Linked DNA regions of Oryzias latipes. The protein of the gene in region 1 purifies or fractionates together with the protein of each later gene. This does not show direct contact. Links are inferred from orthologs where the notes say so. Each region holds a gene or a part of one and is shown in the gene's direction. Other genes may lie near its edges. The genes, in order: srrt and zc3h18.

The links.
Region 2: the proteins of srrt (region 1) and zc3h18 purify together in Homo sapiens (co-immunoprecipitation; 4 studies listed by BioGRID and IntAct, counting the BioPlex papers as one, with this or other methods). This does not show direct contact. The link is inferred for Oryzias latipes from reciprocal best matches to the Homo sapiens genes SRRT and ZC3H18.

The regions. Positions count from the first base shown.
Region 1 is NC_019872.2:15,817,257-15,821,536, reverse strand, and holds the start of srrt (serrate RNA effector molecule homolog), read left to right. Parts: upstream 1-1,286; 5' UTR 1,287-1,370; exon of another isoform or gene 1,371-1,581; intron 1,582-2,301; coding exon 2,302-2,420; intron 2,421-2,589; coding exon 2,590-2,718; intron 2,719-2,804; coding exon 2,805-2,948; intron 2,949-4,094; coding exon 4,095-4,280. UniProt on the Homo sapiens protein: Acts as a mediator between the cap-binding complex (CBC) and the primary microRNAs (miRNAs) processing machinery during cell proliferation.
Region 2 is NC_019864.2:26,635,131-26,638,953, forward strand, and holds part of zc3h18 (zinc finger CCCH domain-containing protein 18), read left to right. Parts: intron 1-2,374; coding exon 2,375-2,491; intron 2,492-2,659; coding exon 2,660-2,862; intron 2,863-2,953; coding exon 2,954-3,168; intron 3,169-3,301; coding exon 3,302-3,398; intron 3,399-3,823.

The DNA.
Region 1 (4,280 bases):
TCAATAGGATGTTCCGAACAGTCCTAACTACAAGGACGTAGATGGTGGAGCTGGAGAAAACTTCATGTTGGACCTAAGGGACGGCCAAACCTTTCCTCAGATGGAATCAGAGTTTTTCCTGGAGGATGAAGCACAGGCTACTCACGTGTGGCCCCGAGACATCCTGGATTACATGAGGCAGCAGTTAAAGTTCAGAGGAAGAACGAAGAAGAGCACAAAGAACGGCTAGATTCAGCATTTTACTGTTAAATTTAATAAATTGTTACTTGATTGCCAAACGCTTCTGCTGTGAATTTTTACATTATTTTACATTTCACTTAAATCCCTTAACTGGTATGTCATAAAAACTTTGGGAACACGAAGTCTGTTTACCGAAAACAAAACATCCAATAGTGTTACTGAGGACTGGTCTAAAACAATTTTGTCAAAGAAAAACTTGAAATAATTTATTTTGTGAAATGTTGTGTCTAGTACTTTATCAAATTAAATAGTTCTATGGAGTAAACCTTTTACGTAGTTACATTTCCTTCTCCAGTTTTACTGTAGTATAACATTAAAAAGTAATAGATAGATAGATAGATAGATAGATAGATAGATAGATAGATAGATAGATAGATAGATAGATAGATAGATAGATAGATAGATAGATAGATAGATAGATAGATAGATAGATAGATAGATAGATAGATAGATAGATAGATAGATAGATAGATAGATAGATAGATAGATAGATAGATAGATAGATAGATAGATAGATAGATAGATAGATAGATAGATAGATGTAAGGTAGATATGTTGTAAGGCCATTGCTTGTTACTGTTACTCAACTTGCTATTATAATTTTGGGGGGAGAAAAAAAAACATATGTTCTTAGTAAGTGAATTTGCTCATACTTGGTGTACACAGAAACAATATTATATGGGCATAGCAAAACACAAATAGAGATTATTACTTTAACCAGACTAAAGTTCTTTTCCAATCCAATCGTTCATCAATCATGGCTGAAAAATTCATTTGCTAATAGTAAATGAGGTTTCAAGGCTTTTGGAGTCTTTCTTTACAATTTTATATTATGTGGACACGCAAACAGCGATCCAACAGATGCTAATATATGCGTGTCAGTAAAGTTATGCTATGTCTGAAGATGTTTAGAAAGAAGAATAAAAAAGGTTTGAATAATTACTGTCCCTTGTTTATTAAATTTAAATGGCTGGCTGGCTGGCTGGATGGATGGATTCATGAATTTTAACATTTTTTGGTTACACTCCACACCATACGGTGGCGCTATTGCCTTCTGGCCTATTTTCTTTCTCGAACACTGCTGTCCAACACCAAGAAAAAGAGGGAGACAACGCTGAATATCATTCGAGGTATTTTCGCTCATGCGTTGTAATTTTTTGTTGTTGAACTAAAGTATTTTTGATCGAATAATTTTAAGCAAATTGTTTTCATCTGCGAGGCTGGTTTGTGTGCTTTGAATTTGAAGTAACGTAAACATTTAGCTGACATTGCTAACGTCCTGGCTAATCTTAGCCAGGGGCTACGATAGCGTTAGCCGTTACATTGTTGTACTCTTCAAATGTGAGTATGATAAAGATTCGTTTTAGTCTCTAACAGCAGTACATTTTTTGGTTAACCAACCAATACTCACTACTGCAAATAATTAGCTTAGGTTTTACGCTTTCATCCTGGGTCAGATATTGATTCAGCTAGCGCAGCATGTCTTGCCTAATGATGATCCCCGAATGTTCATTGTTTTTCCCACTCCACTTGAACGCACCGTTCCTCTCACTATGGAGCTCTTCTTAGTACACAACATAAATGTTTTCTTGAGCAGAAATGACCTGTTTTAACTTGTATTGATAGGTACTTAATATTCATATTAAAAAGAAATTACTAAATGAAACGTGATAGCTTTTTTTCTCTTTTTTTTTTTAGCTAACCGGTGTAACGGTTCATTTTTACAATGAATTGATTTATCATATTTTGTGGTTGTTAACATGGTTCATACTCGACATTGGTTCATTTTGAACAATCTGATAGATACACTGACTGACTTAATCGATTAGGACATTTAGCTAAATATTCAACCAGTGCGAATCAGAGAGACGTACCTGGGTACTGAACAGTGCAGGTAAAGTTTTCCAGATTCCTTTAATTTCCTGCAAGATAATCAAATGTAAATAAAATGAATGTACACACAAACATTTGAAAGTGGAATAATTGTTATACCCTTAGCTGTAACACTAATTTATTCGATGAATGGCTGTGGATCTAAATGCTATTGTCTGTATTTTGGAGATGGGAGACAGCGATGACGAATACGATCGCAGAAGGAGGGATAAATTCAGACGTGAGAGAAGTGACTATGACCGCTCCAGAGAAAGAGAAGACCGTCGCAGAGATGACTGGAACGAGAGGTGAACATTTCACACATTTATTTTATAGTGGAGTTGTATAACCTTTATGAAGCCATCTCACCTGGTAATAAACAATAAAAAATATGCCATTCTGTTCTCAATTGTTACTTTTATAACCCTTTGATTTGTGATCGTTTTAAAGCATTTTTTTCTTTGATGAATATTCCAGAGAATGGGACAGGGGTAGGGAACGCCGTAGCCGTGGTGAATACCGGGATTATGACAGAGGCCGGAGAGAGAGATTTACTCCTCCTCGCCATGATTTAAGTCCCCATCAGAAACGCATGAGAAGAGACTGGTAAGGTCACATGTAAAGATGAGGCAATGTCAATTCACCTTTTGTCTTTTTTATTTTTTGTAAAGTATACCTTCTTGTTGTTGTAGGGACGATCACGGCGGAGATCCATACCGTGGAGGTTATGATTTAGGTTATGGTGGAGGAGGGCCCAGTTATGGCCCACCTCAGCCCTGGGGTCATCCTGACCTACACATCATGCAACCGCATCAGGGTATCCCAATTCAGGCAAGGTGAGAAGTAGAACCTAGCTTATTTTTTTTTAAAAACTTTGTTTTTGTTACTCTTTTTGATATACAGTGATCCCTTGCTATATCACGGTTTACTTTTCACGGTTTCGCTACTTCACGGATTTGGATTGTGCATTGTGTTCTGCATTCTGATTGGCTAAAAAGTCACACAGCGAGTAGCTCAAGAATGGGACCCTTTGATGAGCCGTTCATTACAGTTCTCCAACATAATCGATGGGGGCATGTCGGTGTATAAGAATCTTTAGCAAAGAAGAAAAAAGAGCGACAACAACTGCCTATCACTATGTTCCTCTCCCGAACAAACACACCTGCAGCTGCACCGCGGGCTTCAGAAGGAAAAAACGCTGCACAGGATGCAGCGGCTCAGTATGAAGAGCAGTGAAAAAGAAGACCGGAGTCACTATATGTCCCACTGTACTTTTTTATTTTTTTCATAATCATTTTAAATTTTCTTCCGTTTAATCCACTCGGGTCGCGGTGGGCGGGGCTAATCTCCGCAATTTAAAGCCTTCTGTTCTTATCGATGATTGAAATTATTATTTGACAGCACACTACAGAAGTTATTTGTTGAAAAAACGTTTCTAAAGTACTTTTATTTGTTAAAAAAACAATTGATTTAGCCTGTTAAATGGTTTGTTCTTTCTTTTCAATGTATAATAGTGTATTTCATTGTATAATAATTGTAAAAAAAATAAAGGTTTCTACTTCACGGGTTTTGCTTATCACGGGTTCTATTTGGAACGTAACCCCCGCGATAATCAAGGGATCACTGTATACCAATTTGCTTTAAAAAAAAAAAAAGGTAAAATAAATTTTGATTCTTTGTTTCCGTACGGGTGGTCATACATTTGTAAGCTACTTTTTCCTATTTACCTTTTAGCTTTGCACCTTTCTTGCTTGTATTTTCTTTTTTCTGTTCTGTCTTTGATAATTAATTAGTTGAAAATAAATAAGGTAGGCACTATAGTGTCTCTGTCCACATAATTCAGGTAAAGCAGTGTTTGCTGGAATTGTTTAGGATGAACCAAAACATGACTTTGTTTTTGACCCCAATTACAAGAAGTTCACTTCCTAGTTCTTAAATTGTCTTAATCACAGCTAAAGTTCCTCTTATCCCATTTCTCTCAGGCTTGGTAGCATCCATGAGATGGACTTGGGTCCTCCCCCTCCAATAATGAAGAGCTTTAAGGAGTTTCTGCTGTCCCTGGATGACTCTGTAGATGAAACGGAGGCAGTCAAGCGGTACAATGAGTACAAAGTTGACTTTCGCCGACAGCAGATGCAGGACTTCTTTCTGGCTCATAAAGATGAAGA
Region 2 (3,823 bases), on another chromosome or scaffold:
TACTGCTGTACCTTATGACACAGTATTTAGATTGGACTTGTTTTTTTTTTGTGTGCATACTATTGTTTTGTTTTGTTTTTTAAATAAAGTTTGATTTGAACAAATACTAAAAATCATCTTTAGAAAAAGACATTAGCAGTTATCCTGGATAAGTAGCTGTGGCTACACAGTTGACTGTATAAGAAAACTGGTCTGAGTTTAGTGTGAAATCACCCATAGAAGATGACTTCCTTCCAGTTCCAACAAAATGAGTCAAACAAGTGTGCGCCTTGTCTGAATAGTTTTTTATGTATTTATTTTTCTTTACTATGTGTTGGAAAATTATTTGGAATGTTAAAGAAAAAGTACTTTTTTAAGCTGTTTGGCAACAAAAGATTTTGAAAAGTTCTAAAATGTCTTGGAATCTTTCAGAGACGTATGTCTCCTATGGGGTGACTCTTGAACGGCTTCAATAAACCAAATCAAGTGATTCAAAATGCTTTAAACCATGTAAAATTAAGTTTAAAGTGTATTATAATGTTAATTTCTCACAAAAAATAACCCCAAAGCTGTATTTTGATTCATTCATGCACTTCTGAGTATTCCTCTGAAAAACCTACTCTCTGAGTTCTCAAATTCATACTTATGAAAGTAAGGAAGAGCCCCTTTCAATGCACATTATGCACATCTATCTTTACAAAAGTTCAGAAAATGAAACACAGACACAGGCCGGCTCTATGTTGATGTTGATGTTATGAAACGGGCGGCACCCACACAGAGCCAATCAGAGATTCAGTCAACTTACTTCAGGGTATGAAAATGAGCTGGGAAAATATATTTCCCAGCTCATTTTCATTAAAATAAATCATTCTCTAGTGTGCCAAAGATAATGTATTATCATTTATGTGTATAGTTTACTCTGAAAGGCTTAAGAAAAGCATGATATAGGCCCTATAAACAACAAGGCTCAGTTGGGAGGAAGAAGAGTTGGTCACAGAGTTTGTTGGTCTGTATATAAATTCTTTGTTGAAGTGAGAGAAAAAATTGGTACGTTTTTGTGATTGAACGAATTCAAACTAAAATAATACTTTTTTATGTTTGTTTGTTTTTTAAACTTAATGCAGTCTGGCAGTGTTATTCAAATGGTGACCCGCTTGCCACTTACAGGTCGCCGGTTTGTTGCAAAGCCACACACTCTCACACCTTGGGACAATTTAGAGATACCGATTAACCTGTGAAGCATGTTTTTGGAATATAGGAGGAAGTCGGAGTGTCATGCAAACTCCATAAAGAAAGGTCCTAGACTCTATTTGAACCAGGACGTTCTTGCTATATAATTATCTTTTACAGAATGATTAAAAAGATTTAAAGAGAAAAACACTCTGAGTGTGTGCAGACATGCTTTTTAAGCAACAGTCAGTTTGAAGCCCTTCAGAATAAAAGTGGCACTCAAACATACCAATTAACTTAGAAGCACAGTGTTTGTTACGACACGTCTTTTTTTTTTTATTAAACTGCAAATGGTGTGACCGATTTCACAGAGTGAAAATCTAATAAATAAGAGCTTTTCATATGAATCCGCTGTGTTCTGATGATAAACATATGATTGGTTTATCATTAAAAAAAATTTAAAAAACACTTTTTTTCGCTAAAATCGTACAAACTCAATTCATTGTGGTCCATGTTCCCCAATCTAGTGAACATTGATGCACGCTTGTTTTTCGCAGAGACTTCTGGGACATTTTTAGTGAACTGGATTCTGGAATGGGGATACCCATTCAGACAGCTTTACAAAATAGTGAACACACTATAAAGTGCACTACGAAGTGAGTAGTGGAGGAATTCAGGCACAACCAACCTATACAGGTTGTGCCTGATTGTGATGTCATCCATAAAAAATGGTTTACTTCCGACTCCAATCGAATAAAGTCACCATTTTTGTGTGTTATGAACGTTGTCGTGTTGAAGCCAGACGTCGTCAGTAAGCTGTGATTGATTCAGGCTGGTCTGAGTCGACGTTTCTATGGCAACTACTTTCCCCCATCGGGAGTGAGCTTGTTGGAAGTCCACACCCATATTACTTGAAAGCGGGCTCTGGAGAACCTGTCAAAGGTTTTGAACATTTGACGTGAGACCGCCTACTTTTAACGAGGCATCTGACTGGTCAGTTTAGGAATTGAATAACTTTCACAACAGAAAGGAAAATATTAGGGGGGGGGGATTAAGATTTTCAAGACTGTTAAAAAAGAATTGCCATTCTGACCAAAAAAAATGACTGAGTAACAGATGGTTATTTCTCCTAGACGGATTTCTTGGAGCTTCCTGTTTGGACCGTGAGGGGGAGGGGTCACTCAGTCCTGACTGAAGTTCTCGGTTTTTTCCCCATATATTCCAGGAGAACTGTGAGTGGGAGTGTGAGTGGAAGTGGCAGCAGTTACACCGGTTCCAGCTCCAGATCCAGGTCATCCTCCAACTCCCTGTCTCGCTCCCGCTCTGGATCCAGAAAGTCCAGGTACCCGCCTGCACTCTGCTGCAGCTGACCGAAGGCTTTCTGGAGGCTGAGAATTCTTACACCTATAAGAAAAGTTTGCATTTAATCTGTAGACTGAAGATGTGTTGCTGTGGTGTGTTGGGCCTGTCTGTTGCATGCAAACATCACGGCCTGCTGATCTCTCCGCAGATCGCTCAGTGTCAGCAGCGTTTCGTCCGTATCGTCTGCATCGTCCAGCAGCTCCATGCGTAGCGCCGACTCTGACGACATGTACGCAGACCTTGCAAGCCCGGTGTCCTCCGCCAGCTCCCACTCGCCCACACCCAACCAGCCCCGCAAGGAGCGCAGGCCTCCACGAGACCGCTCGCCTCCGGGCCGGGACAAGAACAGGGGTGAGTGTCCCACCAAACACGTGGCCGGCTCACAGTCTTAAAGAAACTCTAGCTTGTTGAGGTTTAGTCTGAAAGTTTTTGTTAATTGCAGAAAGACCGTCAAAGAAAGATGAGCTTTTTAGGGAAGATCGCAGGAAAATGGACCAGTCTGGAGCTCCACCCAGAGGGGCTGGTGCCCCACCTCGATCTGGACCTGGCAATAGGGGAGGCCCCCCTGTGCATCCTCTACCTGTGGCTGGTGGCCCCCCTGGAAGCTATGGAGGTTCAGGTTCCCACAAAGACATCAAACTGACCCTGCTTAACAAGGTTAATGGTGTTTCTATCAGAAGTTTTGCTGTGAACTTTACCAAGGAATAACAGTATGTTTGCTGTTTTTCTGTCAGTTAAATTAACTGTTTGTTCTGAAAAAGTTGGTTGAATTATTCGTCTTTTGGGGCAGCAGGGAGACAGAGGCAACAGAAAGAGGTACCTGCCTTCAGACAAGGACCGGTCCGGTTCCCCTCTCAGCAAGAGGATGGCCATGTCTCCAGACCGAGGTAAGAAGCCACAATCGCAACAGGACCAATGATCATGGTCAGGTTCCACGCTGCGGACGCACAACCGGCTATTAGCTGCTTTCATCTTCTAGTGTTTTCATTCCTTTATCTCAGGGGTTTGCAACCTTCAGCACTTACAGAGCCGTTTGGGTCGATTTCCCTCTGACAACAACCCAGTAGGAAAAGTCATAAAGTTGTACTTCTACCCTTTAGAAAAATGAAAATAACAACTTGTATTTGTGTTACTGTTACACTTCATTTAAAATATGTATTTGTTTTGTGATCTCTCAATCACACAGAGGAAAGTAGACACTGCCCTGCAGTTTTCTCTGTGCTTTGCTGTTGTGCAGCTTCTTATGTTCTGTTATCTTAGTGTTCTGTAATAAATCGAGACTGAATTGAGGTTCTTATACTCTCTCAACCAC